2 linked regions of the Notamacropus eugenii genome follow. The protein of the gene in region 1 purifies or fractionates together with the protein of each later gene. This does not show direct contact. Links are inferred from orthologs where the notes say so. Each region holds a gene or a part of one and is shown on either strand. Other genes may lie near its edges. The genes, in order: MYO1E and OSTF1.

Region 1 (15,453 bases):
TATGAGTTACAAATATCTTCCCATGTAGGAATGTAAACAGTTCAACAATATATGTATATGTAATCGTGTGTGTGTGTGTGTGTGCTCACGTGTGTATTTCTCTCAACTATGCCTTAAACTCTTTAACTGACTCCAGCCGTTCCATGGTGTTTCTGAGGGAGTAGTTCTGCTGCAAAGTACCTAGCAGGAGATAAAGAGGAGAGAGAAAGAAATCTCCTCCTTCCTCCCACCCTACAAGGAGCTCCCAGCATTGTCTTGTCTCCAGGGTCATAACTAATTTTCAGCCTGACAGATGGTGTTGCTGTTACTTATTTGGTATGCTTGTACTTTACAAAGAGAGGAGACAGTTTTAACACCTCGTTAACATGTAGACACCTAATCTTCTGTGATTATCTCCTTTGATTGTCTCAGCTATGGGGGGGAGGCAAATCCCCCTGCCCACACATAGATTTGGCATCCTCACAAAGATGTTTTTTTAAAAAATTAATTTTTCTAATACCTTTTGTTTCTATATCACCTTCATTTCTCAGTCTGTATGCCCTTCCCTCTGCCTTACCCAGAGAACTATCCCTTTTAACAAAGAATAAGAGAAAAAAGCAGTTCAGCAAAACTAATTAACACATCAATCAAGTAAGATTTGTGTATTCAGTGTACCACATCCATAGCCCCACCCTCTAACTCCCCTACCTATAAAGAAAAGAGGAAAGTATGTTCTAATATCTCTTCTTCAGGGTCTGCATTATAATTGCATTATGTTAAGTTATCATTCTTTGTTTTTGTGGGGTTCTACTCATTGTGTACATTGTTTTTCTATAGACCTAGGAAAGGTTTTGCTGGGTCAAAGGGTATACACAGTTTAATAGCTTTGGGAGAATAGTTCCAAATTGTTTTCCAGAGTGGCTAGATCAAATTAACAATTTAAGAGATCATATGTTAAAGCAAAATTAAAGAATGTGATATTAGGAATAATTAGCCAAATTTTTACCTTTAATGAGGCATTATTGACAGGGAAAATGCAACACAATTGGTCTAATGAATTTTCTTTGTTGAATCTGTACTGTTTCATAGAAAGCATCAGAGGTGATTATGACAGCACAGAGTATTCTTTTTTAAATAGCATTTTTTTCAAATATATGTAAAGACAATTTTTAACATTCATTTTTACAAGATTATTATGTCCAAATTTTTCTCCTTCTCTTCCCTCCCCTCTTCCTAAAACAGTAAACAATTTGATATGTTATATATGTGTAATCCTGTAAAATATATTTCCATATTACTCATGTAGCAGAGTATTCTAAAAGTCACAGTATAATTTTTAGTTATTAAAGCTTTAATATTTTTAAATAGTTAAAGTTTAAGTATTGGTTAAACTTTAATAGTTTAAAACTGAACTAAGACTTTTGGAACACTCTGCACTATTTCTCCCTTCCTGCTCCCCACAACCCTGCCCAGTTTTTCTAAGGTAGGTTCACAATATGAATGAAAAACAGATGTGTTTATTTTAAAGATGAAGAAACTGAGGCACAAAGAAGTTACATGAGCTGCCCATAGTTACATGGGTAGTTGAAAGAATGTTAAGAGTCAATTTAGATGAATTGTAATCTACATGGGGAAAAGTCATATGAAATATCTAGAAAGGGAGGTAAAAGTTAAATTGTGAAAGGCTTTAGATATCATGGTAAGAAACTTTAATTGGGAGTAATAGGGAGCCACTGGAAATTCAAATTGTCACTAGTAGGGAAATAGACAGTAGAATGTTGATATATCTGATAAACACAGGTGTTTCTTCCTTGAATCAAATCTACATTTGCCTCTTTGTAAATTCCACCCATTGCTCCTGACTTTGCCCTCCTGGGGCAAAATAAATACTTGTAGATGGTTTCCATGTCTCCCTTGAGTGTCCTCTTCCTTAGCTTAAATAGTACCTTCAAATGATCATTGTATGACATGACTTACCTTAGCAGTATTTTTTCCAGGGATGTACACATTGATAATGAGGTTGGTGCATTCATTGCCAGAGCAAGCTCAGTGTTTGGGAAAAGAGGTTCTAGACTGACCACCAAATCAAAGGTCTACTGAGCCATTGTGCAGACCTCATTGTTATATGCCTGTTAAACTTGGACAGTATAATATCAGACCCATGCCAGGAAACTGAATTGTTTCCATTTGAATTTTCTCAGGAAGATTCTGAAGATCACATGTCTGGATTAGAAATCAGACACTGGGGTCCCTTCTCAAACTAAACTGCCAAGCATTCAATCTCTACTGTGGAGAGCGCAACTACTATGGTCTGATTATGTTGTTTAAATGTCAAACATACACTTGCCTAAAAGACTATTTTATGGAGAACTCACATAAGGAAGGCACTCACATGGTGGTCAGAAGAAGTGATGCAAGGACACTTTCAAGGCATCTCTGAGGAACGTTGGGATTAATTCCATAACATGGGAGATTCTGGCAAAGGACTGCCCAGTATAGCATAACCAGGTCAAAGAAAGCACTGTGCTCTGCACAGATTCAGAGAATCCACTCCAAACGTTCTCATGCACTATTTGTGCTTAACTTAACTATTTGTAGAGCATTCTGAGCTCTTGTTGGTCTGATCGACCACAATTGGACACACTGTAACTTGACTCTAACTTAGTGAGGTTTTTTGGTCCTCTTTGAGAATGAAGATCAACAGTCAACCAACCATATGACATGGGCACTCTCTAGCTTATCAATGTTTTTCTCAAATTGTGGTATTCAGAGCTGACCACAATATTCCAGATGAGGTTTGAGAAGGACAGAGTTTGTTGAATTATTGCCTTCCTGGAAGCATTGCCTCTCATAATGCTACACGATATTGCTCTACATTTTTTGACTTCCACATCATACCACCGATGCACACTAAGCTTGCAGTCTGCTAAAAGCCCCAGATCTTTTACAAAATCGTTGCTTCCTAATCAACCCCAAGACTATCTTGCACTTGTGAAGATGATTTCTTTATGCCCAAGAGAAACACTTTATGTTTATCCCTATTGGATTTAATTTTCTTAGATTCAGATGCCCTAGTTTAAAATCGTTTTCAATCAGGATTCTGCCATCCAGTGTGTTAGCAATGGACGAATGAAAAACCATTTATTAAATGTTTACTACATGCTAATCCAACAGAGGTCGCAACCAGGGGTAAAAAGGGTAGGCAACATGGTTTACATGTAGTAGCAAATCATGAAGATTATAGGAGTGCATTATGGTACCTGGACATTGAACTTTTATCAGTTAAGAGCACAAGGTGAGTCAGTGTGATGATGACTAGAGTGGACTCTGGTGGATCCAGGGGTTATCTAGTGGTCACATCCTTCAAAGTTCTTATCATTTTCACCCAACAACCACTTCTTCCCCATTAGTGCAAATCAGATCCAGAATAGAATTTCTTCTTGTTTGCTCCTCAGTCTTTTGAAGAATGAATTTATCACTAATACAAGTTAAGAAATAATTATCTCCTTTGCTTTGGGTAGAGTAAGAGTTCTAGCAAACGTCTGGACAATATCATGCCTCTGTGATGGGACTGTAACCTCTTTCCCAAAGTCCCCATCTATTTCCTCCTTCTGTCCAGGTGATCTATAGTTTGACAAAGTTATTTTTGTTTCTCCTTCCAGTTTTCTTTTTCTCTTTCTTGTTTTATCCCAGTTTCAACCTAGTGTTTATGTGGAATATAAGCGTATCATTTTCTCAAAGTAAATAAAAACTAAAATAGAGGATCACTAAAAGTATAAATGTTTCATTTAAGCAGTGTCATTGTGAAATGAAATATTCTATATAACTGAATTTGCTACATAAATAAACTTGAATCACTTAAATACCTGAACTTTTAAAATTTTGAAAGATTGCTCCAAATCACTATTATATATAATGAAAAATAAATCAAAGCAAATTTGAGGTTTCATCTTATTTCCAGCAAATTACTATAGATGATAAAAATTGGGAATAGTCAGTATTGATAAGTCTGTGAAAATCTAAATTTCCAAGTATTGCACAAGTACCTAGAAGCACAAGTATTGTTGGTGGAGCTTTGAATTGATCCAATCATTCTGGAAAGTAATTTGGATTGTGCTAAGAAAGTGACCTTTTGACCTAGAGATCCTACTCTTAGGACTATTCCCCCAAGGAGGAAAGAGTTAAAAAGACAAGGGGCCATGCACACCAGAATATTTATTGCAGCATTTTTTGCAGTAGCAAAGAAGTAGAAACAAGATAGATTCCTATTACTTGGAGAATACTCCCCCCCCCCCAAAAAAACACACACACACACACACACACACACACACACACACACACACAAAACTATGGTATGGAATATGGTAGATCAGTTCATATAAATAATATGAAGAATTCAGGAAGGTAAGGTAAGAAGTAAATGAACTGATACAAAGTGAACTAAGCAGAAGCAGGGGAAAAAACGTACACAAAGACTACGACAACAAAAGCAAAGAATAACAACAAGAAGATCAAAAGTGAATGTATTGTAATTATAATGACTAAATATGACCCTGAAGAAGAGATGAAAGAAAGAAAGAAAGAAGGAAGGAAAGAAAGAGAAGGAAGGAAAAGGAAGAAAGGAAGGAAAAAAGAAGGAAAGAAGGAAGAAGGAAAGAAGGAGGGAGGAAAGCGAAAGAAAGGAAAAAAGGAAGGAAAGAAAGAAAGAAGGAAGGAAAAAGAAGGAAAGAAAGAAAAAGAAAACACATTTGTAGAAAAATATTTCTAGAGGTTTTTACTGTGATGGCAAAGAATTGGAAACTGAAGGAATACCCATCGATTATGAAATGGCTGACCAAGTTATGCTACATGAATGTAATGGAATATTATTGTGTTGTAAGAAATGAGAAAAGGGATGGTTTCAGGGAAATCTGGGGAGACAAATGAACTGATACAAAGCGAAGTGAGCAGACCAGAACAACTGACACAATAACAACAATACTGTTAAGTCTTAGGAATTCTGATCAATATAATGACTAACTGCAATTCCCTTTTCTCACTCTCTCTCTTGCCTTGGCTTTTGGGGCGGTATCCTCTTCTGGTTTTCTTCCTACGACCCTAACTATTCTCTTTCTTTTGTGCTGGCTCCACTTCTTCCATTTCTCTCCTAAAAGTGAGCATTACCCAAATTCAGACCTCAGCTTTCTGTTTTTCTCTCTCTGCACTCTGACCATTGAAGATATCATTTCTCTCCATTGCTTTAACTCTACAGATCACTTCCAAACCTATATTTCTAGTCCTGACTTCCCTGCTGAACTCCAGTTCTGTATTTCCAACAATTTACTGGATATTTTTGCACAGATATCCTAACATTACATCAAACTCATCAAGGCCAAAACAGAATTCCTCACATTTTCTCCAAAGTCATTTTCCTCTCCTGACTTCCTGCTTTTGTTAATTGTAATTACCATTACTGGGAGGTAGTAGAGTCAGAAGCAGGATAGATTAAAAACCTCACATTACCAAGTCTTGGTAGTATTTCTCCCAAACATGTCTTTGATCAATTTTGTTTTACATTCACTTGTACCAGCCTAATTTTGGTCCTCATCATTTCATGCCTGAAATACTGTAAGTCTTTAGAATTGATTTACATTCTCCTCCTTCATTCCACCTATCCTGCCCATCATAACCAGAGTAACCTTGGTAACAAAAGACCAAGATTTGGAACTGGAAATGAACTTAAGAGTCCAATCCCCTTCTTTCATAGATTTGGAAACTAAGATCCTAAGAGGCTAAGTGACTTGCCAAAGGTCATACAGACAGTAAATAGTAGAAACATGATTTAAATCTAGGTCCTCCCATTTCAAATAAGGCATCCTCCAAATACTATTTTGATCATGTCATTTATCTATACAAATACCTTCAATTGTTTCTTATCATCCTTTAATGAGAGCCCAGTCTCTTTAACCTGACAATACTGATTCAATCTACATATCCAATATTAATATTCATCACACTTGTACACAAACCTTACACTCTAAAAAAAAAATTACAATAATCTATTTTCTCTTCTCTTATCTCCTTTTCCTGTTGGAAAAAAAGAAAAAGAAAACCATTATAATAAGCATGCTTGGTCAAACAAAACAAATTTCTTCGTTGTTCATAAAAAGCCTTTACTCCAGATAAACTAAAATGTCACTGTCCCCAGAACATCTTTTATGCTTTTTTTGCTCCACGTTTTTTGTTCCCATTTTTACTCCACTGCCTCTTCTCCATGTTGGTTGCTATCTTCTCATCCTATCCAAATTCAGCTTGATCCCTGAAGTTATAAATCAAATTCTACTTTTCCTCTGACTTCCCTTCACTCAAGGAAAAAAATGAGTGCTTCCTCCTCTCAACTCTTATAGCATTTAATTGACAAATGCAGCTTGACATATTAGATATATTTAGCTTTTGTTAAATATCTTATTCCTATACATCCTGTCTCCTCAATTAGACTGTAGCATCCTCAAGATGGGGACCATATCATATGCTTCTCTGTATTTCCCATGCTGCTTTATGACATGCTATTTTGTGGACACCTGTGCAACACATGAGGGAACCCATAAATTCTCATTCTCACTATATGATGGGCCTGATTTGTTTCCTCATCGTATTCCTTTCTTACATATCCTTTATGTGGTTTATCCTATGTCAACTCTTTGTTAGTAATATATGTCAGGGGCAGCTAGGTGGCGCTGTAGATAGAGTGCTAGGTCTGGAGTTAGGAAGTTTCTTCCTCCTGAGTTCAAATCTGACTGCACTTACTAGCTGTATGACCTTGAGCAAGTTGCTTAACCCTGTTTGCCTCAGTTTCCTCATCTGTAAAATGAGCTAGAGAAGGAAACGCCAAACCACTCCAGTATCTTCTCAAAAAACCCCTAATAGGGTCATGAAGAGTTGGCATGACTGAAATGACAGTAATAACAATGTATTGCAGTCTAATTATGGTCACCATGTTCCTCTCCATTGTCCTTTGGATGACCCAGAGTACAATTTGAAATTGGTATGTGGCATTGGGAAGAAGAAGGTTCTCATTTTGGAGGTCTTCAAGCTAAAGCTGGATGACCATTTATTAAAAAATAATAACAGCAGCTTACATTTTTAGAGCACTTTAAGCTTTGTGAAGCATTCCATGTATGTTATTTCATTTGACTGCTTGGCTCTATTTTAGAGGGGAATCTTTTTCAAACATAGATTGAATTAGATTGACACAAAGGCCCGTTCCAACACTGAAATTATATGATTATAACCCTTAACTTTAATCCTGTGGAGACCATGGTATTCCCTGACTCACAACCACATAACATTATTGGAAAAATACATCAATCTGTTGCCAAGTCCTGTTGACTACCTTTGAAACATCTCTCCACTACCCTGTTGAAGATCCTCATCACCTCACATTTAGCCAGTAGATATGCCAGTCTCAAGTCTCTCCCCTGTCCAGTCCATCTTTTTCCATTCAAAAGAGATCTTCCCAAGTTCAGGTCTATACATGTCACTCTCCTATTCAATCAACTCCATTGTCTCCCCATTATTACCGGGATCAAACATAAAATCATTTGTTTGGCTTGAAACTTGGTTATAACTTGGCTCCTTCCTACATTTTTCATCTTCTTTCACCTCACTCCCCTTCACATATGTTATGATTCAGTGACTTTGACCTCCTTACCTGGAATTTTCTCCTTTCTTGTCTCAACTTCCTGGCTTCCTTTAACAACTAAAATCCTACCTTCTACAAAACCTTTCCTACCCATTCACCTATCCAATCATTTGTCGATTATCTCCAATTCATCCATAAATAATATATCATTTGTACATGGCTGTTTACATGTCATCTCCCCCATTAGATTATGAGCTCCTTAAAAACAAGGATTGTTTTTGTCTTGCATTGTATCCCAAAGTTTAGTACAGTATCTGGCACATAGTAGGTGCTTGTGGACTTGACAGTACTAATATCCAAGTATCCAAGATGGATTATAGCCTTAGCCTTGGGTAAAAGTACAAGTCTGTCCTCCTGTATGACAAGGACCCTGAAACTGGAATTAATGCTGCTTCCTTCACATATGAAGAATCAGAATCACTGAAACTCAAGTAGGAAGAGATGTCAGAGAGCATCTAATTCAACTTGTACTTAAGCAGGAATCCTCTCTGCAACATTCTTGGTAAATGGTTATTCAGTTTCTGTTTGAATACTTTTTTCTATTACCTCTCAAAGCAGTTCATAAAATTTAAAGTGGCAAGATGACCAGGTCCAACACCCTCAATTTACAGAGGAGGAAACTGAGGCCAAAGTAGTAAAGTGACTTACCCAGTGGAAAGAGCACTGGCTTTAGAATCAAAGCATCTAGCTTTAAAACCTTCCTCTGGCATTATTATCTTTGTGACTGGGAAAGTCATGAATCTTCCTGAGCCTCAGTTTATCTATAAAATGAGAGGGTTGGACTGAAGCCTCTTCCAGCTCTAGATATATAATCTTCCCTCCCTCTCCATATAGCTAGTAAGTAGTAAAGACAGGATTCCACTTTTGTCCAAGAGCTGTCCAGATCTAGATGCTAAGTTTTTCCTTACAATGAATCAAAAATCTGCCTCTCTGTATTATAACAGTTGATTGAAGCAAATGAATACTCAGGGCATTCAACTTGTTTAGAGATGCCAGCCCCAACCTCAGCCATGGTGTCCCCTCCAAAAAGCACTAATTAAACACCCATGTGCCAGGTGAAGATACAAAAACAAAAATGAAATAGCTTCTTCCCTCAAGGAAGGTACACTCCATGGGGGCAAGAGGATGTACACATACATACACAGACACATACGCATATACCTAACAACTAAAGCCAAAATAGATGCAAAGTCATTTCAGGGGGGAGACACTGTATATTACCGTTTGTGAGATTATTTCCAGCTTTAGAAAGTGAGACTGTAGCTCCAAATGAGCTAAGATTCAGAGATACACTAGAGATTTTATCTTTCACAGGGAAGATAAGATTGGGTAAAGTAGGATTCAATCTGGGTAATAAGGAATTGTGGTTGTTCAGTCATATCTCACTCTTTGTGTCCTCATTTGCAATTTTCCTGACAAAGATACTGGAGTGTTCTCACTTCCTTCTCCAGCTCATTTTGCAGATGAGGAAACCAAGGCAAACAGTTAAGTGACTTGCCCAGGGTCACACCACTAATAAGTGTTTGAGGCCAGATTTGACCTCAGGAAGAAGTCTTCCTGACTCCATCCCTGGAGCTCTATCCACTGCACCACCTACCTTTCTAAATAATCCATCACTAGTACTTTATGACAATCAGATTTTCAATAAAGGCTGGGGGGGGAGGGGAAAGGTGATGAGCACCATTTTGATTTCCCTTATAATCCTAGACCTGAGAAAGAAAACGGATTTCCTCTGGGCTTCTGCCATGACTCTGATCTTCTTTGCTGATAAAATATTTTTCTTCTTTTTCATTGTTCTGGACAAGACTGCTTCTCTAACCTGGGAGATACACAGCTCACCCTTTCATGCTGAAAGAAGTTTGAAGTTTTTCCTTTATTTTATTATTTTTTGTTGAGCTCTTTTTCTCTTCTAAAAGTACCAAGTCTTTAAACTAGGAGATTAGGTCAACAAAGTTCTTTTGAAGCTGAAGGGGAGGAGAAAGGAAGGGCCGGAGGACTACAGGATCCAGAAACCTTTGGAAGGCCTAGCTGCTCCATGCTTGTTGGCTGCTGGAGTTTCCCTGAGGAATGACGCTATGAAAATAAACCCTGATTCGTCAGGGCCGAACTGAATTCTCCATTTAAGGACAGATTGCCGGGCCTCAGCAGAGGCTTAGCCTGGGGAGTACATAGTGGGAGAGTAAAGAAGAGGAGGAGCCAGGCTGGCGGTGGAGCGCCCCTGCCGGGACTGCCCCTAGCCAGCACTTAGCCAGCACTTCTAGTCCGGCGGCCGGAGGAAGCTCTAGTAGATTTCTTGACTTCTCACCGAGCTGTTCATCTCTACACAGGATGAACAGGGTCTGCTAAGGGAGACGCCCCCCCCCCCCCCCCCAACCTGCCCTGCCGATCCTGCTTGGATGGAGTCTCCCCACTGCTCCCATTGGTTTCTTTGAGTATCTGAGGTTTGGGGAGGATTCTTCTTTTTTTTCGGCCGAAAGGAGCCAACTTTTGAAGTTCGAGAAGGAAATTACATTTCAGACCCTCCGCTCCCCCTGCAATCGGATCGAGGTGGAGGAGCGACGGCCACCGAAATCACCATGGTGAGTTGGCCGGGGCTTGGAGCTGCCGGCGGCGCCGGGGTGAGCAGGGGACCCGGGAGCTGGGGCAAGCTGTCCGGAAGGCAAGCCCACCTTGCCGGGCCACTTACTCGCCGGTCCTAGAAAACCCACCTCGGCCGCTTATCCATCAGTCCTGGGAAAGGTTGGGAGAGAAGAGGTAGGGGTCCCTACTCCTTCCTTCCACCTTTTTCAACAGGTTTCCGGCACGAAGAGGAAGCAAAAAGTGCCTTAAGTAACTTCTCGGTCTCCAAACTTGTCTGTGTGTTGTGTTGTGCTGCTTTGTGTGTTTGAGTGTGAGCCTGGCCGTCGGCATCTGGCCGCTGCCGTTGAGTTGAGCGAAGGAGAACAAGCCACATGTATTTTCCGGGGGGTCCCGCGGGCACGGCCCCTCTCTCGGTGCGTGAGTCCCCTTTCTTCCTGCTCGCGGGTGGGGAGAGCCCGCACTGTGCAGCTGCGCTCTTTCCTCTCGGGCCACCTCTGCCTAAGGCGACGGAGCCGCCTCACCTCAGCCCACCCTTCCGGACCCCTAGCCGGGGTCCTTAGCGCCGGCCGCCGGGGAGCGGGGCTGCGTCTTCCCGGAGACTGCTCTCTCATACGGAGCCCTGATTCTTGTACGATCGGGATCAAGTAGGGCTTCGCGGTCCCGGCTGGCACTTGCAAGGTGGTGTGGGAATACCAGTCTGGAGAGTGTTTTTGGTCGGCCTGTCCTGGAGAAAAGAGAAGAAGGGAGGGAGAGAGGGAGCGGGGACAGCGCCACCGCCACCGCCGTAGCCACAGCCACGAAGGGAGGAGAAGGAAGGGAAGGTCCAGGTAAAGATACCTGAAGAGATCGGCTGATGGATGGGCCGGGCCGGACTGGGCTGGTTGCGCCGAGCGAAAGTGACAGTCTGGCAGACTCAGAAATCCTGTGGGCTTAGGGGAACTGAGACTGGCCAGATCTGTACTCGGAAGCACAAAAATAGCTGTTAGTATGTCCCAAAGGACCGCCTCGCCGCCCGCTTCCCCACCACTGCCAGGTGGCCGTGCCTCAGTGTGCAGAGATGACCGCGAAAGTTCTGAAGGCACTGCCCTCCTGCGCAAATTTGCGAGTCCTTTTCCGAGTCTGTGGAAGTAGCCCACTCTCCTCTCCCCACCCATAAAGATAGCACACCACCGCGCCTTAGTCAGACTTCTCTTGGGTCTTTTCCCTTCCTTAAAAGTCCCAGCACCACCAAAAGAAGAGCGTGGAATATTTAGGGGAGGGGGGGATAAAAAAATTTAAAAATTGGAAAAGCTACAGAAAAGACTTGCGAAAAGATTGGAAGACTGGAGAATTTGTACTAAAGACTTTGTAATTTGGGTATTTGCCTTACTGAAAATAAGCTTGGGAAGGTTGGATGAGAGAGAGAGAGTTGATACTTCTGTGTGATCTTAACGATTGGAGAAATGGGGAGAGGTTAAAAATGATACCTGGTAGAGTAGAATATTAGTTAAAATGTATATATTCTAACAAAGGGCAGGCAAGTGAAAAGATGGCCCATCAGGGCCTATACTTGCTTTTTATCTCCTGCTGTCTTGGAAATTGTGTTTACAAAGATTGATTTTTGTCTTTGGGAGAACCTCTCTGGTCTGAAGGGAACACTCCAGAACCCATTACCAATAGATAGTGAAACGTAGCATCATATTTGTCCCTACAGAAAAAAACATAAAACACACATCAATTTTCCTTTCAACTGTCAGGGTTCAAGAAGTTAGCTAACCCTAATTTACTTTGGAAACTAGCTTATATAAGTGGAGGATGTGTTTGGGATTTGTGCTTCCTGGTTAGAAGTGGAATTAGGATAAATGATAGTCCTGGTATTGAGGAATTTCTGAAATTGGTTTCTACAGTTCAGTCTAAAAACTTGGGCAATAAGATTGTGACAAAACAAATATTCTCATAACGTTTCAATAGTGGAACAAAATCTTGAGGGAAAATCCAAAATGTTGGATGCTTATTTAATGTTCTAAGAGATATCTCTTTGTAGCATATTCTGAGTGCCTGCAAAACCAATATACATTGTTGGATAGGTTGGGAGGATCCATAAACACTTGCAAAGGAAGGATATTACAGAAGAAAAAATGATGTTTAAAAATGATGTTTCTGAAATTGTGTAAACTATTCGTTTTAAGTCTTTCATTGTTTAGCAAGCACATAGCAGCAGCAGGTAGGAGTATGACTTACCTATTAGTGGGCATTTTGCCATGGACACAGATGGGCATGTCTGTGGGCAGCCAAAAGACTATCTGTGTATCAGATATGGTTGTTGAGGCCAAGGTTCCCTGTCAGAAAAGTTGAAACAGCTGGCTGCCCTGAAATAGGAGATGGGCCATCACTAAATCAACAATAATCTAGACTAATTTGCAAAAATAAAATGGATTTTTTTTCTATTGCCATGAAGAAGTGAGTGTGCTCATTTTTATAAAATGTCAAGCTGTGGACATTTGTTATTAAAGGTTGTGAGACTTTGTTCTAATAAAAAATATGATGTTTTGTTTACATTGGATCCCATGCCAACTTGGGCACTGTACATGGATTATGTCATCTGATGCTAAAACCTCAAAATGCACCTTTGTTCAGCCATGCACAGCTGCACCCCACTGTAATTTAGGGCAGGAAGGGAAGAAGAATTCAGTGGAAGTGGTTGAAAGTTAGGATGTAGACTGTAATTGGTATAACTTCTGCCAGGATCTAGGGATAACACCGGAGGGGGCCAATTTTTTTTTTAAGTTACATCTTTCAGGAAATATAGTTAGACCTTAGTCTTACAATTAATCAGAAAGAAACCCCACCTGTGCTGAAATCCTGACCAAGACTGATTCATCCCTGACTCATAGGGAAGATGGCCATTTTCAGACTCATGAGAATAAAAGACTTAATTTTTGTTGTCTCCTTCTTGATTTTCTGGCTTTTCAAAATTTGACATATGAGTATTTGATGACAAAAACCTTTATCTTTATGTGGGTAAATTAGAATGTAGAACTAAAGATATCTGTAATTCCATAAGAGCATAAATTCTCTAGAAGAGTTTAAAAATCTCATTTGGCTTTACCTAGTGGCCATTTAAATCCAGGATTCTTTCTACTATGTGTAAATTTCCTTGGAGAGACTATGTGGTATAGTGGATGGTAGGGTATATCAGACCCAGAATTGGAAAGCCTGTGTGACTGTGGGTGAGTCATTTGACTTTTCTGAGTTTCAGTTTTCTCATGTGTAAAATGGAGGGGAGGGAATTATACCTACACCCCCCATCTCATTGTTGTCATGAAATTCAAATGAAAATTATGCATTATAAATATTAGCTATTCCAGAATTGGTTTTTGGTTTGATGTTGTTCTGTTGTTTTTTACCGTTGCCACCAACAATACTAACATTTCTTTGACCTTAACCAATTACCAGTGCCTATGGACATAGGTATACCATCCTTTGGGTTCCCAGAAATGGCACAATCTGATATTTCTCTTTGTTCTCAGGGCTTCAGTAAATTAAATACATTTAAATCTTTGGGGTCCAGATCTTTTGGCTGAATTTCTATAACCAGAGCATTCCTATAGTATGCTAAAAAATCTTACAGAACATGTAAAAGATAACCAATGCTACCTTGTGATTTACAGGCAAGACTCCAATTTTTGTTCCAAAAAGCCTTTTGTAAATTAGTTGTTTGTAACTCAGAATATAGTTTCCAGTGTTCTAAATGGTAGATAGGTTTTTGTGAGGTGATCTAAGAACCTATTTAACACATACTGCTGTGCTGATAATACCCAAATGAAGCATTCGTAAGTTGAGGACTGTCTATTCTAAATAGAGAGATATAAATCCTTCTTTTCTGGAGATTTTTTATTTATCTCTCAGCCAGTGGTACAGGTTGTGGGTTTTGTTGATTGATGGTAAGCCAACTGGAAATCCACATAGCCTTCTACTCATTTTAGAAAGAATTCTTGAATGAGATACAGTTGAAACTTTGACAGGGTTTTAAGGAAGGGAAAGAATAAGTAGTTTGGCCAATTATAGATTAGGAACCCATTAATTATGGGTAGAAGTACAGAGGGACTGTAGTAGGAAAAGCGGGATAGAATCCATCATTAACTAGAGTGAAGAAAGCAGAGAGAGTTCATAACATCCAATGAAGAAAGAAAATTTTAATTTCTACCCATGTCCATAAACATATACTATAAAATGCTTAAAAGAAAAAGACAGAACCCTAAAGAGACATATATAGGGAAGTACCTAGTTCCCCTTCTGATCTCAGCCGTGCGTTAGTGAGGGGAGACAGAAAAATCAGAATAGGTTTGCATGAGACCTTATAAGGCTTTCAAACATAGGATCAGGGAAGCACTTCCCTTGGTGGAGTCTTCTTGGGGTTGGCATGGGTGACAGCTTTTTGTAATTGACCTGAAGTTTTGTTACAGGCTGTAATATTTAAATAACACACCTCCGAGGCAGTGATCAAATCAAAGTGGAGTAGAAATCTAAGACTATGGGCGAAACAGGATGTGGAGGAAACTGTACAAGGAACTTAGCCACTAGGTGGAAATGGCTTTGATTTTGAGCTATTATCTTTAAAAATATCCTGTGATGAAGAATAAAGCTACTAGAATATTTCATTATTATATGCCTGATAGTGATTTTATCTGTCTGTTAGGTGACTTTCTAATAATATATTTATAAAATGCTGGGGCAGCTAGGTGGTGCAGTGGATAGAGCACCAGTGCAGGAGTCAGGAGGGCCTGAGTTCAAATCTTACCTCAGACACTTGACACTCACTAGCTGTGTGACCTTGGGCAAGTCACTTAACCCCAATTGCCTCATCCTGGGCCATCTCCAGTCATCCTGATGAATATCTGGTCCCTGGATCCAGATGGCTCTGGAGGGGAAGTGAGGTTGGTGACCTGCACAGCCCTCCCTCACTCAAAACAAAGTCAAGTCATATCATTTCTCTGATAGCATGGTCTTCTTCGGCAACAAAGGATGAACACACATTTATAGAATGCTAGAACTGGAAGCTATCTTGGAGATCACCTAATACAGTCAACTCAATTTACAGTTGGAAAAAAAAAAAACAAAGCCCAACATGGGGAAATGACTCAGCCAAGGTCACAGTTGGTGGCAGAGAGTCAGCACTAGAAACCAGGTTTCCTTTTTTTAAATAATTAATTTTTAGTTTTCAACATTCACTT
Region 2 (15,484 bases), on another chromosome or scaffold:
CCAGTTCCCAGAGCTTAACATATTCATGTGGAATTTACTGCAGACACCTGATTGGCTTTGTCTACTACTGCTCAGACCTATCAAGATCAAGTGATCTATCAGTGGTAGCAAAGGATTACAGGTTTGTGCCATCATGCTCATCTGGAGGCTGGTTCTTTCAGTAAACTGAATCATGCGTAACCTGGCCAATTGATTCAACCAAGTAACTACTGTAGCAGGTGGAACAGTGTTCTGAGCTGAGTCTACTCCTTCTCTCTTAGCCTGTTTGTTCCTCTGATGTGGTTGTTGCTGTCATTCAGTGAGAAAGCATACAGGAAGCGCTTACACGCACATGTCAGGCATAGTGCTGAGTAGACAAAGTACAACAAATACATGGTCCCTACCTTAAAGCAACTCATTTTCTAATGGGAGAGAAAACATGCCAACAACTTGGTATGTATAAGATATATACAGAATAGATCTAAGGTAATCTCAGAAGGAAGGCACTAGCAGGGGAAGGGAAGGATAAGGGTGGGAAAGATCCTATGACAAAGGTGGAATTTGAGTTTCATCTTAAAGGAAGCCAGGAATTGGAGGTGGGCATAGAGATAGAGGATTCTGGGCACAGAGGACACAGAGATTATCAAGTATAAGAGGATGAGAAAGGTAGGAAGGGGAGAGATTGTGAAGGGATTTAAGTGACAAATGATTTTATATTTGATCTTGGAGTATTACTAAGAGGTTGCCACTTCAGTTTATTAAATGGGGGGGGGGAGGAGAGGAGTGTCATATCTGTGCTTTAGAAAAGTCACTTTGGTAGCTGAGTAAGGGATGAATTAGAGTGGAAAAGGCTGGAGGCAGAGAGACCAAATAGAAGGTTAATACAAATACCCCAGGTGTGCTATAAGGAGAACTTGCGCTAGACTATTATTTGTGTGAATGGAGAGAGGGGAACATAAATGAGAGATGCTATCACAGTAGAAATGACATGACTTGGCAAAAGATTGGATAGAGTGAGCAGGAAAGAGAAGCCAAAGATGGCAGAGGCTGTGAGCCAGAGGGAAATTCAGAAGGGTTTTGAAGGAGATAATGAGTTGTGTTTTAGATGTGTTGCACTGTCCCATTTTATGTACCCCATGAACTCCATCTCCAGACTTAGTGTCTCTGTATAAGCTGTCCGCAGGGCCTGGAATATGTTCCCTCCTCAGCTCCACCTCTTCCAAAACCTTAGCTTCACTTACGTGTTAATTTGGGGGCCACCTCCAAAGGAAAGCCTTTTCTGCTACCCCATAGGTGGAAGTGCCTTCTCATTTTTCAAGTTATTTTGTTTTTGCTCATCTGGGTTGTATCCCTTGGAGACAGGAGATACTTTGTTTTATTGTTGTAGCCTGGTATACTGGCAAGGCTTTGCACTGTAAGGAGGTATTTCATAGATACTTATTGAATTGGAGTCAGCTAGTAACTGCAAGTGTATATATACATATATAAAATTTTTATTATTTGTAATTTGCTTGTTTATTCTGTATTACATTCTATATAAATTCTGCATATACGTATAGTACTGGCCAAACCCTTGCCTCATAGATATACAGTGATAGAGATATATACTGATTTGAGGGGAGCAGGGATGGTCTGTATACCACTGCCTATAGTCACACAGACATTTCTTTAGGTTAAATGTTACCATCTCTTTCTACAGTTTTTTTTTTAAGTTCAGATTTCCTTTGAAGGAATGATGGTGAGTACATTCACATTTTAGTGGTATAATTCATTTTCAAGAGGCTCTGACAGAAGGAGCAGCTGCGAGATCACCAGGCAGGGAGAAGTCCTCAAAGAAGACAAAAAGGAGAGAGGGGCTAAAGACGAATTTCACCTACATCGCAATTTCCACCTAAGGTTTATTGCGAAAGTTTAAGAAAAGGCTTCTTAGACTGTCAGTCTGGAAACAGAGTTTCAATTAGAGATATGAAATCCGATGGAATATTAAGAAGCTAGTTTTTCTTTAGTATTTTGAAACATTCAGAAATCTTTATGCCAGCCTATCTGAAGTTCTGAGTCTTAAATCCTATTTTCAGGGACTCCTCAAAGAGTTGTTCTATGATATGTGCCCATTATACATAATTATATGTTTATTAATTTATTCATGTATATACAAGAACAAATAATCATATGCACCCATGGATACATTCATAAATACTCACACAAGACTCTACAAGACTCTAAAGTGAACTAAATTTAGTTCTGAAAAAATTTTAACACTCCTTGAAGATACCCAGTGAAGACACTGGGGAAATAAACCATTCACTGTTCTCTCTTCCTGGGAAGCAAAGACTTAATCTGGCTAATTGGTGTATCATAAGGTTCTTAAATACTTTTGATGAAAATGGATTTCTAATTAGGAATATCCCCAAACACTTCTTGAAGGCATTGCTTAGTGTTAAGAGCCAGGTAGAATCAGGATGGAGGAGAGATCCTTTTGAGAGAGCAAGAGTGAAATAGATATGTATTTACATGTATTAAATAATATTTCGGTAGAAAGAACAAAAAAAAGTTAAATGAGCTATTCTCTTACTATGTCCTGAAGGCATCTAACTGCCCCAAATGAATTCAAAATTAGCTGTACTAAATTTTAGCACCTGTGAGTGTTGACATACCTTGTATACAGCTGAGAGGCAGAAGAACTGATGGTGATCTTGGAGGAGTCAGAGAACAGAATCTAGTAACTGCCAATATATTCTTGTACTGATTTTTGTTAGTTGTATTTTTCTTGTATATTCAGTCTATATGTATAGTAGTGTCTAGACCCATACCTCATAGGTAGATAATGTGCTCTGATTTGAGGGGAGCAGGGATGGTTTTTTACTGTCCAAATATCTCCCTTAATCTATCTATCATCACACAATTACAGACCGGTATTATGGTATTGGAAAAAGGCCAATGTCCCACTTTTAGGAATGGGTAAAAGTCAGTCAATGTTAATTAAGCAGCTACTACGTACCAGGCACCTTGCTAAGTAGTGGAAATACAAAAAAGGGTGAAAAATAGTCCCTATTCTCAAGGAGATCCCAGTGTAATGAATGACACAAGAAGCAAAGAATTAACTACAAACTATAGACAGGATACCACCAGCTAATGTCCTTAGTGATGAGTCCCAGCAAAATTTGAGAAAAAAATATTAAATGTTAAATAATTAAATATTAAATTGTGAACACAGGAGGAAGCTCTTGTGTAGTGGAAAGACCCTTGGATTTGGAGTGAAAGGACCGGGGTTTGAATTTTGGCATTGTCATTATTTCCTAGCTGGTTAGTTAATTTCTCCATATTGTGTACATACACACACACACACACACACACACACACACACACACACACACACACACACACAGACACTAGGTAACCTTAGGCACTAGCAGTTGTGACCAGCAAAGACATCCTGAGCAAGGTGGTACTTGAGCTGGGTCCTAAAGTAAATTAGGGATTCCAAGACGTGGAGGTGGAGATGGAGAACATTCTGGGGACAGAGGACAGTCAATGACAAGAAATGGAAATGAGAGATGTACTGCTGTCTGTGAAATGCAGCAAGAAATTCAGTACGGCTGGACCTCAGAGTGCATGGAGAGGAGTTGTGAAATAATGCAGGATGTGGCCAGGCAATGAAAACCTTTAAATCCTCTTTGAGGATTTAGCTTCATATACTATTAGGATAAGGAAGTGGTGATGACTTCAAGGTGGTATGGGTTTTCTCTCTTTCCAAACTTCTTATATTTTTCTCCCCTTTACAGACTTTATATCCAGCTGTTGTTTCTAGTTGTGTCTGATTCTTCTTGACCCCATTTGGCATTTTCTTGGCAGAATTACTGAAGCAGTTTGCCATTTTCTTCTTCAGCTCATTTTACACACGAGGAAACTGAGGTAAACAGGGTTAAGTGACTTGCCCAGGGTCACATAGCTAGGAAATGTCTGAGACCAGATTTGAACTCAGGAAGATGAATCTTCCTGATTCCCAGGCCCAGCATTCTATCCACCGTACCACCTAGCTGTGACGTTATTTTATAAGGTTACACTGGCCTAATCACTGTTTCACTCACCAACACTCCATCTCCCAACAATGCCTTTGCATCTGTTGCCCCACCATCTAGAATGTCCTCTTTCCTCACTTCTACCTCTTAGTTCTCCTGGCTTCCTTCAAGACCTAGTTCAAATGCCATCTTATGCCTGAAGCATTTTCCAGTGTTCCCAGCTGCTAGTGCCTTCTACTCTGAGATTACCTTCTTTCAACTTGGTATGCAAGTAGTTATTTTTACATGGAAACTATTGTCTTCTTGAAGACAGGGCCAGTTTTTGTATTTCTTTGTATCCCAGGTGCTTAGTATAATGCTGAGCACATAGTAAGCACTAAGTAAATGTTGACTGTCAAAATAACCTTATTTCATTTCTTTTTAACAAAGTTATAAGACTTGCTTCGATATTTTGATGGATTGATGACTGGATGGATCTTTTCACTGTGGGTGCTCCCTTCATTGAAGTAGATCCCAGCCCCTACACAGCTTCTCATCCTGGATGACTCTTATCCATGTCCTCCCAAAAATTCTCCACAAGGAGACATATCAAAGGCCTTCCTCTTGGTCTCTTGATGCTGCACAGATACCAATGGCGCAGTAGTTAGTTACTGTCCTCACCATGTATACCTTCTTTTTCAGTCACGTATATCTCTGATGGCAGCAATGGAGGTACCTTGCGATCTATTTACACTCAGCATGGGCCTCCTCATAGCCTTCTGGGTGACCTGCAGTTTGAATTTTCAGAGACTATATGTGGTATTCCATGACTTGTAGTCACATTGTACCATCAGAAAAATATTGGGGTATTAGCTCACATCTATCAGAAATTACAAATGCTGGAGGAGATGAGGGAAAAATAGGTACGCTAATGGAAGTGCTGGTGGAATAATAAGGTGGTCCAACCATTCTGGACAACAATTTGGAACTATGTCCAAATGGCTATAAAATTGTCCATTTTCTTTGACCCAATAATACCACTCCTGGGCCTGTATTCCAACGAGAAGAAAAAAAGGAAAAGGAACTATATGTACAAAAATATTTATGGTAGTTCCTTTGGTGGTAGTAAAGAATTGGAAATGGAGGGGATGCCCATCAATTGGGGAATTGCTGAACAAGTCGTGTCATATGACTACGATAATATAATTATGCTATAAGAAATGATGAGGAAGATGATTTCAGAAAGACATGGGAAGAACTATATGAACAGATGAAAAGTGAAGTGGGATGAAGTTGGAGATCACTGGGCACAATAACACCAATGTAGTAATGATGATCAGCTGTGAAAGACTTGGTACTCTGACCAATACAATGTTAAAAGATAATTCCAAAGGACTTATGATGAAAAAATGCCATCCGCTTCTAGAGAGACAACCAATGAACTATGAGTACAAATTGAAGTATAACTTTCTCCGCTTATTTTTCTTGCTTTTTTTTTTTTAAAAAAAATAGGGCTAACATAGAAATATGTTTTACATGACTTCACATGTATAATTGATATGATATTACTTACCTTCTTAGTGGATGTGGGAGGATATGAGCAGGAGAAAATTTGGAACTCAGAATTTAAAAAGAAATACAATTAAAATGTTAAAAAAAGGAAGGAGAGACAAGGGATGATAGTGGGGATGGATGGATCTAGTGACAGTTTTTTGATAATAGGGTAATATGAACATGTATATAAGCAGGCAGTAAACAGGCAGAGAATGAAGACAAATGAGGCAATTGGTATGATAGAGGAAGCAATCTGCTACAGAAGATGGGATGAAATGGGATCACTTGCACACCTAAAATTAGCCTTGCCAAGCGGAAGGGACACCTCTTCATATGAGACAGGAGTGAAGGAAGAGATAGTGGCAGAAAGCATCGAGGTGATATGGCATGAAGAGAAAAAAAGTGAGCTTTCAGCAAATATTTTTTAGAAAAATTTTTCGGTGAAAGATAAGTGAAGGCTTTCAGCTGAAAGAGTGGGGGATGATGGAACCTTGGGAGGTTGGAAAAGGTTTAGAAAATAAGTTGTGGTGAGTATCTCATATTCTTTATATTTTTCACATCCCCTAGCACAATATCTTAAAAATAGATGGCACTGAAAAAATACCTTTTCATGCTTCATTCTTCAGTATATCAAAGAGAGTTCAACCTCTCATGAGTGATTCCACGGTTTTATTACTGTAATAATCAATTTGTTTCTTCCCTATGTCTAATCACAATCTTCGTCATTTTCCTGTAAGTCAATTTCCACTTGTTTTGTCTTCCAAAGATGTGGAAAATACCTGCTTAGCCTTCCTATGTTGAAAAAACAAAGCAAAACCCCATGCTTCTATCACAGCCACATCTTAGCTTTGCCCTTCTCTAGACTAAAACAATACCAATTGTTTTAAACTGTACTGTTAAGACCTATTTGCCATTCTAATTATCCTTGTTACTATTATTATGTCCTGCTTCAGTTTCTCCACATCCCATTTGAAGTATATTTATAAAAAGTTTATAAGGTTGTTCTAAACTCAGCATATAGTGAAAGCATGATTCTAGTTGGCATTTTTCACAACAGCAGGCCACTGCTCACTCATACTCAATTTGCGGTAAAATTTAACCTCAGCCCTCTACTTGCCACAGGTCCACTCTCCCTCCCCCCATTTTTTGCCTGTTTGGTCATTCCCCGTCCTCTGTTTGCATGGGTGTCACAGGATATCTTTAATATATTTTCAATTCATGCAAAGTACAACTGTATTAATATTCATATTGGATGATTATTTGTTAATTTAATAAAAAATAATATTGGAGTAAAAATAACAGGCTTTTTTTTTTCTGAGAGAAGTTCAGGGTCATCAAAGGCACTACACAATTTTTCCAAAGGTAATCTACCATATTTCCTTCCCTCTACTCAGTTCTAGGCCTGGCTCATTAACAAATCCCAGTTTTTGGCCAAGGTATATGTAATGATGAGGGGCAGCTAGGGGTGCAGTGGAAAGAGCACCAGTGCAGGAGTCAGGAGGACCTAAGTCTTACCTCATACACTTGACACTCAGTAGTTGTGTGACCATGGGCAAGTCACTTAACCCCAATTGCCTCATCCTGGGTCATCTCCAGTCATCCTGCTGAATATCTGGTCACTGGTTTCAGATGGCTCTGGAGGAGAAGTGAGGTTGATGACCTGCATAGCCTTCCCTCACTCAAAACAAAGTCAAGTGCAAGTCATGTCATCATCTCTCTGAAGGCATGGTCTTCTTTGGCAACGAAAGACTAACACACACAATGTAACGATGAGGGAGGTGGGATCTCCAGTTCTCCTGTATCTTGTATCTGTATCTTGCCACTGGATCCAGATGGCTTTGGAAGAGAAAGTGAGGCTGGTGATCTTGCACAGCCCTCACTCACTTAAACCCTATTCACTTGCAAGTTACGGCATCACCTTCCTAATGTCATGGTCCTCTTCAAGAATGAAGCAGACAACAACAATGGAACAACAATGTAACAATGATGGATCAGCAATATGGACTGGCCATCTAACTAGATGACTTCTACCGAACAACAGGTGTGCTTCATCCACTTTTTTTAACTGTAAACCCAAGCTTCAGAAGGGATTATGGATCTTGTTGGGGTGGGGGAGGAGCACTGCAAAATGCTGCAAGGCTTGATGCACTCAGCAGAATGTTACCTGCAAATGGGTGACTTTGAGAAGACTTCTTCATCTGTAGGGCACGGCTTTTTTCATTGGGACACTGTACTACATGATACTGGCAAATACCTTGGGTGAGAATGTCTGCCTCTTTTCTGACCTGCTTGATATTAATCTGATTTAGTGCTTCTGTTGTTAGGTGTTTCAAGGAATTTTGTACAAACTGTATTTATGTATACAAGAGCTTCACTGGAGCAGTTTTCAAAGTGAAATTTTGCTTTTTTCTCCCCTCTATTTGTCAAATAACAAGCACATTGGGATCTTTTATTTTCCATGGTATATTCAGTCAAATGTGACTGTACAGATGCAGTTTGCTGTAGAATTTGGAAAAGCCTGTAACCTCCTCATACCTTCAACAAGGATGTTTCCAGTTCATCTGAAGATTATATTCATGAAAATTTTGTAGAGACAGGAAAGAAAGCATACCAGTTAGTAGTTACCGATAGTCTACATTTTGGGAGGTAATAATAATATAATGGAAAGGAGACTGACTCTGGAGTCAGAGGACTTGGGGGAAAATTGTACCTCTGATGCTCATTACTTAAGTGACCTTGGGCAAGTCAGTTTCCTCCTACTCAAAATCAAAAGGCTGGACCAAATTGCCTCTAAGTTACTTTCAGTTCTAAATTTATGAGCCTTAGACGTTTAAAAGTCACAGAAGCAATCTAGTCCAACTCATAGTTGAAAAGTAAACCTCTCCACAACAGAAACACACTATATATATATATATATAATATAAAACCAGTTGCTGGAAGGGGTCCAGCGAGGAGCTTATAAGCTTATTAGCAACAGAACCAGCCCAACTCCTAGGTAGCTTATATTATTAGGAAGTTTCCCCCACCCCTACCATCAGGTCTTACATAAGAAGGCCAGGTAATCATTTATTTTACAGAGGGGGTGGTGGTGACAGAAGAAGAGAACCTTGATCTCGTTTGTTTGGGAAGAAACCACGCCATGTGGAAATTCCCTCCACCAATGAAGTGGCTGGTCATTGTAGGTAATTTGCACTTCGCAGAGTTGCTTAGTCACCAAGAGGCTGAAAGACTTGCCCACGAGGTGTAAAAGACAGGACTCGAACCCAGGTCTTTCTGCCTCCTCTATTCCCCACGTCAGGCGGCAGCTCTCCTGGTGGAATGTTCATGGTGACAACAACCTTCTCCTCGAAAAAGTGCGACCTGAGGCACCCCTAAAAGGGGGAGGCGCGGTGGCCAAGCGAGCACCTGGGTGAAGACCCCGCAGGCGCAGCGCCGCACCGATCAGGTACTCACCTGGCAGGTAGTCCCGGGCGGGCACCACTTCGCCACCGGTCCCCCAGAGCGTACGAGCAGCTTTCAGGGCAGACCGTCAGCGCGGGTGATCAGCTCAGACCCTCGACACCAAAGCCGGGGGGCTCCGGCACTTTCCCGGGGCGGCCGCGAGGCACGCAGGCCGCAGGCAGCGCGCAGTCCAGTCCCGTCGGCTGACCCTCCGCTCCGGCTCCGGCCTGGGGGCGGGGCCCCAGCTCGGGTTCCGCGCCCGCTCAGAGGTGGGGCGCGCCGCCCGTGCCCGCGCTCGCCCGCGCGCTCCCTCCCGGGCCCGTTCCGTCCCGCCTGGGCTCGGCTTGGGGCTGGGCTGCCTCCGCCGCCTCTGCCGCCGCCGCCGCTTCCGCATCCCTGCTGCGTGCATGAGCCGCTGCAGCCGCTGGAGCACTCGGGGCCCGCGAGCCAATTAGCGTTTGCTGAGGTAGCCTTCACTTCCTCGTTGAGCGAGCGCTCGGGACGCTGAGCACCGCTTGGAGGAAGCCCCCCTTCCAGTCTTCTTCCCCTTCGAGGAGGGGTGGGCTGGGCAGGAGAGAGCGGCCGAGGAGCCGGACTCAGACTTGTACTTGGTCTTCTCCCTCCCCGGCCTTTCGGATTCGCCGCCCCGGCTGGAGAGATGTCCAAGCCGCCCCCTAAGCCCGTCAAGCCAGGTAAGGGAGGGGCTCCACCCGGGTGCCAGGCTGCCCTGCTTCCCTGCGCTGCCGCCGAGCCCTCTTCTCTTTACAGAGCGAACCAGTTTGGAGGGTGATCGATGACTTTTAAGTTCAAGAAATGACAGGATTGTTTTTGATGACAAGAGTTTTGAGATCTGGGGGTGAGCGCACGCACTGGCAGCTCTGCAGCGTTCCTGGGGGGATGTCTGTAACATAAAGTCAATCGCTTGATTATACCTTTAAAAAAATTCTCCAAACGACTTTTAAAGATACTTCCCTTTTTTTGGGGGGGGGGGGGGGAGTTGTATCCTTGTCAAGAGTCAAGACGGACCCAAAAGTGGGAAGTGCATGGGTGGGTGGGGTGAGGTGAGGTAAGTATATGAAGTCCTGCGGGACGTCTCCGGAAGGAAGAGCAAATGCACTCCATTGATCTCGGCTTCATTTTTGGAAAGCCTGTAGTCAGCTCCAGCGGCCTAATGCTTCAGGGCCGGAAGGATTCCGGCAGCCCTGGCCATTGCGGCTCCAAGCTGTCACTTTTATACATACGCCATCAAGGCTTCGGGGTGAATATGGGCGGCGGGGGCGAGGGGGAAGCGGAGCCTGCCCTCCCGAGTGGAGAGAAGCCTCCGAAAGCACCCTGGCAGATAGTCCTTATTCATTAGTAAACTTTTATCCTCTCTACCGAAGGGTTCTGTGCGCTTGGGAGAGAGGAAGGAAAGGGACAGCTGATTTCTGAATCCAGTGTGTTTCAGTAGGATACTGATGAATGATGGAGTAAGTCGGAATTCCGAAATCGGGGGATTTGCTGAACTTTAATAAAAGCATCTTCAAAGTTCAGAATACATGTTTTCTATTGTTGTTCAGGAATGTCAAGGATTTGGTTTTATTCTGTACATCCTTCGTTATTGTATTTTTTCCCTAAATTTATAGTGTTTTCAAACATAGTATAATTTTCCTCCTTTAAAAAAATGGGAAATAAGAGTACCGTAAATCCCTTTTATTTGAAAAAAAAAAATTACTACCCTTGTGATGTTATTGGTGAATGCCAGTACTCCCAGTAAGGAGATTCCGTTGACCAGTGTATTGGCAGTTTCTCTGAAATTTTTAGTCTCTGTCACTGAGAGGTTGAATGATTTGCCCAGGGTCACACAGTATGTCTGTGACAAATGAACCATTGTCTTGGAGCCCCTTCCCCTGCTAAGCTGCTAAGCCAGGCTGCTCTCTTCTCAAAATTATTGGTTGCTTTTTTTTTTTTTTGCAAGTTTCTTGAGATTTAAATTTGCATAGACCCTACTAAATCTTAACCCTGTGCTTCCTGGTGTATGGAGGCCTTGCAGGCTATGTATATGTCCTATTATGGTCTACCATGTTGGAAATGCTTTGCATGTGATTTTGGCAACGGATTCTGAGTCAGGTTGTTGTCCCAGGATCAGCCTACTTCAGACACAGGCTCAGCACCAGATAATGATATTTTTTTGGGCATGGCAACTCCCAAGCAGCATCCACATAGGCAGTGGGGGGACTGAGGCATCAGAGGGGTGATGACACTGATGAATTCCTAAAACTGTGAAGTAGTTCTTGATAGGAAAGCCATACCAAAAGAAGAGTGATCGTAGACTTTATTATTTTGACCAAAGACTGGGTGTGAATAATAACATTTTTATGTTTTGATTTCAAGTTTTCTGTTTTCTGAAAATGCTTTCAAAGCATTTGCTCATGACAATCCTGTAAGCTAGGGTAGAACAAGTACTATTATAATTATACCCATTTTATGGATGAATTAACTCTGGTTGAATCGGTTTGGTGACTTGCTCGGGGTCATATATATGGTGTCATGACTCCCAGTTCCCCCATCTTTTCAATTATCCCACATTATCTCTTAAGAGTGAAACAGTGGGACTTGAAAGTGTTTTAGACAAGAGATCAAATTTTGCCATTGGATATTTGATTTTTATTTGCCAGGAGAAAGCAACTTATCAAATGAAAATAATGTCTTATTCTTTGGCACTCAATTATTTAAAAAAAAAAAAAGTCCTGGAAATCGATCAAATGGTCTTCTGGATCTAGAGACAGTTTAAGTAATGTCTGTGATGATGTCTGTTCCTTCTCTATGAGTCAGAAAAAAAAAGGCTGTTGCATTTTTTTTTTCAAATTTGCTTAATGGATTATTATCATGGTACAGGATCTATCAGTCACTTAGCCTCTTTTTCTATGAAAGATTAGGAATCTCTAGTTCTTAAACTTGAGTCATTGTACTCATTCACATGGACACTATTTGTCTACTACCATTAAGCCCCACTAACATGGATCACTATTTCATTGTCTTGCTTTCTGTTCCCAGTGCTACTGGACTATTGCAATAGACTCCTAAATGGTCTGCCTCGTTTGCTGTGCTCTCTAATCCCTCTTTCACACTTACTAAAGTTAGTGTCTTAAAGCACAACTCGGATCATTTTGTTATACCCCTGTTTAAAAGTATCAAGTAACTCCTTCATACACTTTTACAGTTAGACAGTTCATGCACCTTGGGTGCTACGTTTTTGACTGACGCCAAGTTTTGCAGGAGGAATCCTTTTATCAAGGGGGTTTGTTCTGTGAAGTTTGGATTCAGTCAAAGGATCACACTTGAGGATGTAAGGGCCACATGTGGCCTTGAGACTGCAGGTTCCTCACCCCTAAAGATATATGTCTCAAACTTTGGAGCTTAGCTTTGAGGCCCTTTATGTTTTTTCCCTAACTCTACGGTACAACACTTCCCCCCTGCTTTTCTCTGCATCTCTTGTTTTATAATACTTCTGCCTTTGCTCTTGCTTTCGTATCTCTCTACCTTGAATTCTCAGATCATGAATTCTCCTCCCCCCCCAGTCTCTTTGCTTTCTGAAATTTTATTCTTCAAGACCTTGCTCAAATGTCAAGTAGACTGTAAGCTCCTTGGGGGCAGGGACTATATTTCTTTTTACTTTTTTTTGTATGACTGGTGTTTAGCTTAGTATCTGTAAGCCATTTATAAATGTTCTAAGTGGTGCAGTGGCCTGGGTAGAGTAGTGCAGGGCCTGGAGTTAGGAAGACTTATATTCCTGAGTCCAAATCTGGCCTCAGACACTTACTAGCTATGTGATCCTGGGTGAGTCACTTCACCCTGTTTGCCTCAGTTTCCTCATCTGTAAAGTGATTTGGCGAAGGAAATGGCAAACCACTATTTTTGCCAAGAAAACCCCAAATGGGGTCATGGAGAGTCAGACATCACTGAAAAACAATGAAAAATGCTTATTCCCTCTTGTCCCCCATCTCTACCCCTTCCTCCCTTCCTTTCTTCCTTCCTACTCTTCTGTGGAGAAGAACCAGCTTTGTAGCTAGGTTAAGTCTGAGTTAAGTCTAGTCTCTCATTTATACACTTGTGACCCTGAGCAAGTCACTTAATCTTTTTATGCCTCTTGCAACTTTCTAAGACTATAACTTGCAGAGACCATACCTCCCTACTTCTGGTCTAGAGAATTACCTCAGTCAATAAAATCACAGCCTCAGTTCCCATCCCTAGCCTTGTGCATTGTTTCTGCCTTTATCACATTCTGACTTAGAGTTGTTTGTGTTCATTTCTCATCTTCCCTTCTAACTTTTAAAATCCTGCAGAGCCAAGAGTGAGGTAATACTTATATTTGTCACCACCACATCCATTCCTTAGCACAGCCCCCCTGCATAGTGCCTTTTTTTGTGGTAGGCCTTCAATCTGTGCTTGTTAAATTGAATATATCCCAGACCCAAACCAGAAGTCTGTGTCTTCCCTGTCCCCTCCTCCCCATTTATGTAAAAATACTCTGTAAAAATACTTCTATACCACCAGTTTTACTATTTTTAGGTCCTTTTGTATTCTGAAGGCTGGATAAGAATAAGTGAATTTGTTTAGCATGTCAGAGCATAGCAGACAAAGGTTTGCTATCCAAGAAGACTCTTTTTACAAACTTCATCTCAATATTTAGTGTAAAGAATGGGAGTTAGAAGTAATAGAAGAAATTATATCAGGAGCTGAATTTTGTAAGAAATTTCCCATTTAATCAAGTTGAACAGAGATAAAATTTGTAAAATTTTTAGTTGTCAGCCACAAGCCTGGCTGGTCACCGACCTGCACTGTTTTTTTTCCTAATGGCATATTGACTTTATGGATGAAAGCAAAGCATCATAAGTATTCCATGTTCTTGGTTATTATTTAGTACTAAAGATGTGTCATACAGAAAATTAAATTGAAATTAAATCAGAAAAAAACTAAAATTGTGTTTTAAAAATCATTCTAGCATTCATGATTAGATCATGAAAACTAAAGAATTCTGCTTAAATTACATTTTTGGTGGAAAAAAGTCAGCTACAATAGAGTCAGTGATGCTACATTGGAAAGATCTCTGGATTTGAAGAGTAGAAACTGTAGAGTTTCTGGGTTCTGTTTGTTCATTCCTGCCTGTATGACCTTGGGCAAGTCACTTTGAGCTTCATTTCCTCATTTGTAAAACAAAGTTGTTGGAATAGATCACCTCTAAGGTTCCTTCCAATTCTAGATCTATCATCCTATGTATTAGTTACCCCTGGGAGTTATTATTTTTGGTGTTGTCATTTTAGCTGTATACTAATCTCTTGTAGCAGAAGCATGAATAGTGGATAGGTTGACACATACAAGTTGTATGTCCTTGCACAAGTCATTTTATTTCACAGTTCTCTAGGCAACTCTCTTAAGTTATAAATTACAGACTGTTGGATCTACTTTGGTTGAGCAAATTTCCATACCACAGATTTCTTGGCCCCTGGTGAAATCTTAGGTTAGATTAGGAAAAAAAACACACCAAAAAAACTATACCCTGAATCAGATTTTCTGTCAGATCCAAATCATGGGCAACTTAAATCTAAAATGTGTGTATCTTATTTACATCAAAAAGCAGTAATTGTTCTCTTAAAAGAAATTTTAGAATCCTTAGTTACTCTGGTGCATGAGCCATCTTTGTCCACTCACTTTCCATGGCTGTCACTTTCTATTTGCTCTTTGGTATCCTTATTTCTCTTTCTTATGGATTCATTCATTAGATATTAAATTTCTTGGAAACTGAGTTTTGTTCCAACCCTTTGTAAAGGCACAACATATAGTATAATATTTGTGAAAGATGAAACCTCGGAAAGTGCTCTTAACTGATGGACAAAACGTTGGGTAAGGGAGGGGTTGGGTAACTGATCTAACTTCGTTGTATGCAAAGGTGGCCAAAGAGATACTTCCTGTCTGTTTCAATTGATGGTAACCCTAGCCACTACAATCTGTCCCTCCTATTGCAGCAACAACCTCTATTCTTTTTCAATCCTGGGCATTTATTAAGTGCTTACTGTGTGCTCAACTTTGTTAAGCATTAGGGTTACAAAGAAAGGCAAAAACAGCCCCTGACCCCTCAAGAAGCTTTTACAATCTAATGATTTGACTTAGATGTGATTAGTAGAACTACAGGTAATACTTGTCTTGTACCCCAACTGGAACAGGCATTTCCTGCTCAGGATTGACAGGAGTCTTTTCTTGTGTGTAGAATGAGAGGAAGACAAAATTATATACACTCGAGTGTGTGTACACACACACACACACATATCCATACACATATGTACTCATACACACTTATCAGTGGGTTAAGAATTAACTGTAAGTTACAGATTCTTTCTTTAGGTTAATTTAACCACAAGTCAAGATTCATTACTATGGGAACTCCTTCATGCCTTGGTTAATAAATTCATTGTCATGAATGCCATGGTTTCTGTGGCTAAAAAACATTAATCACTTGGTTACCAACTTCCTGG

The links.
Region 2: the proteins of MYO1E (region 1) and OSTF1 purify together in Homo sapiens (co-immunoprecipitation; 3 studies listed by BioGRID and IntAct, counting the BioPlex papers as one, with this or other methods). This does not show direct contact. The link is inferred for Notamacropus eugenii from reciprocal best matches to the Homo sapiens genes MYO1E and OSTF1.

What each region holds. Positions count from the first base shown.
Region 1 is NC_092872.1:136,918,171-136,933,623, forward strand, and holds the start of MYO1E (unconventional myosin-Ie), read left to right. Parts: upstream 1-9,795; 5' UTR 9,796-10,236; coding exon 10,237-10,239; intron 10,240-11,283; exon of another isoform or gene 11,284-15,453. UniProt on the Homo sapiens protein: Actin-based motor molecule with ATPase activity. Unconventional myosins serve in intracellular movements. Their highly divergent tails bind to membranous compartments, which are then moved relative to actin filaments.
Region 2 is NC_092874.1:374,991,060-375,006,543, forward strand, and holds the start of OSTF1 (osteoclast-stimulating factor 1), read left to right. Parts: upstream 1-9,199; 5' UTR 9,200-9,630; coding exon 9,631-9,664; intron 9,665-15,484.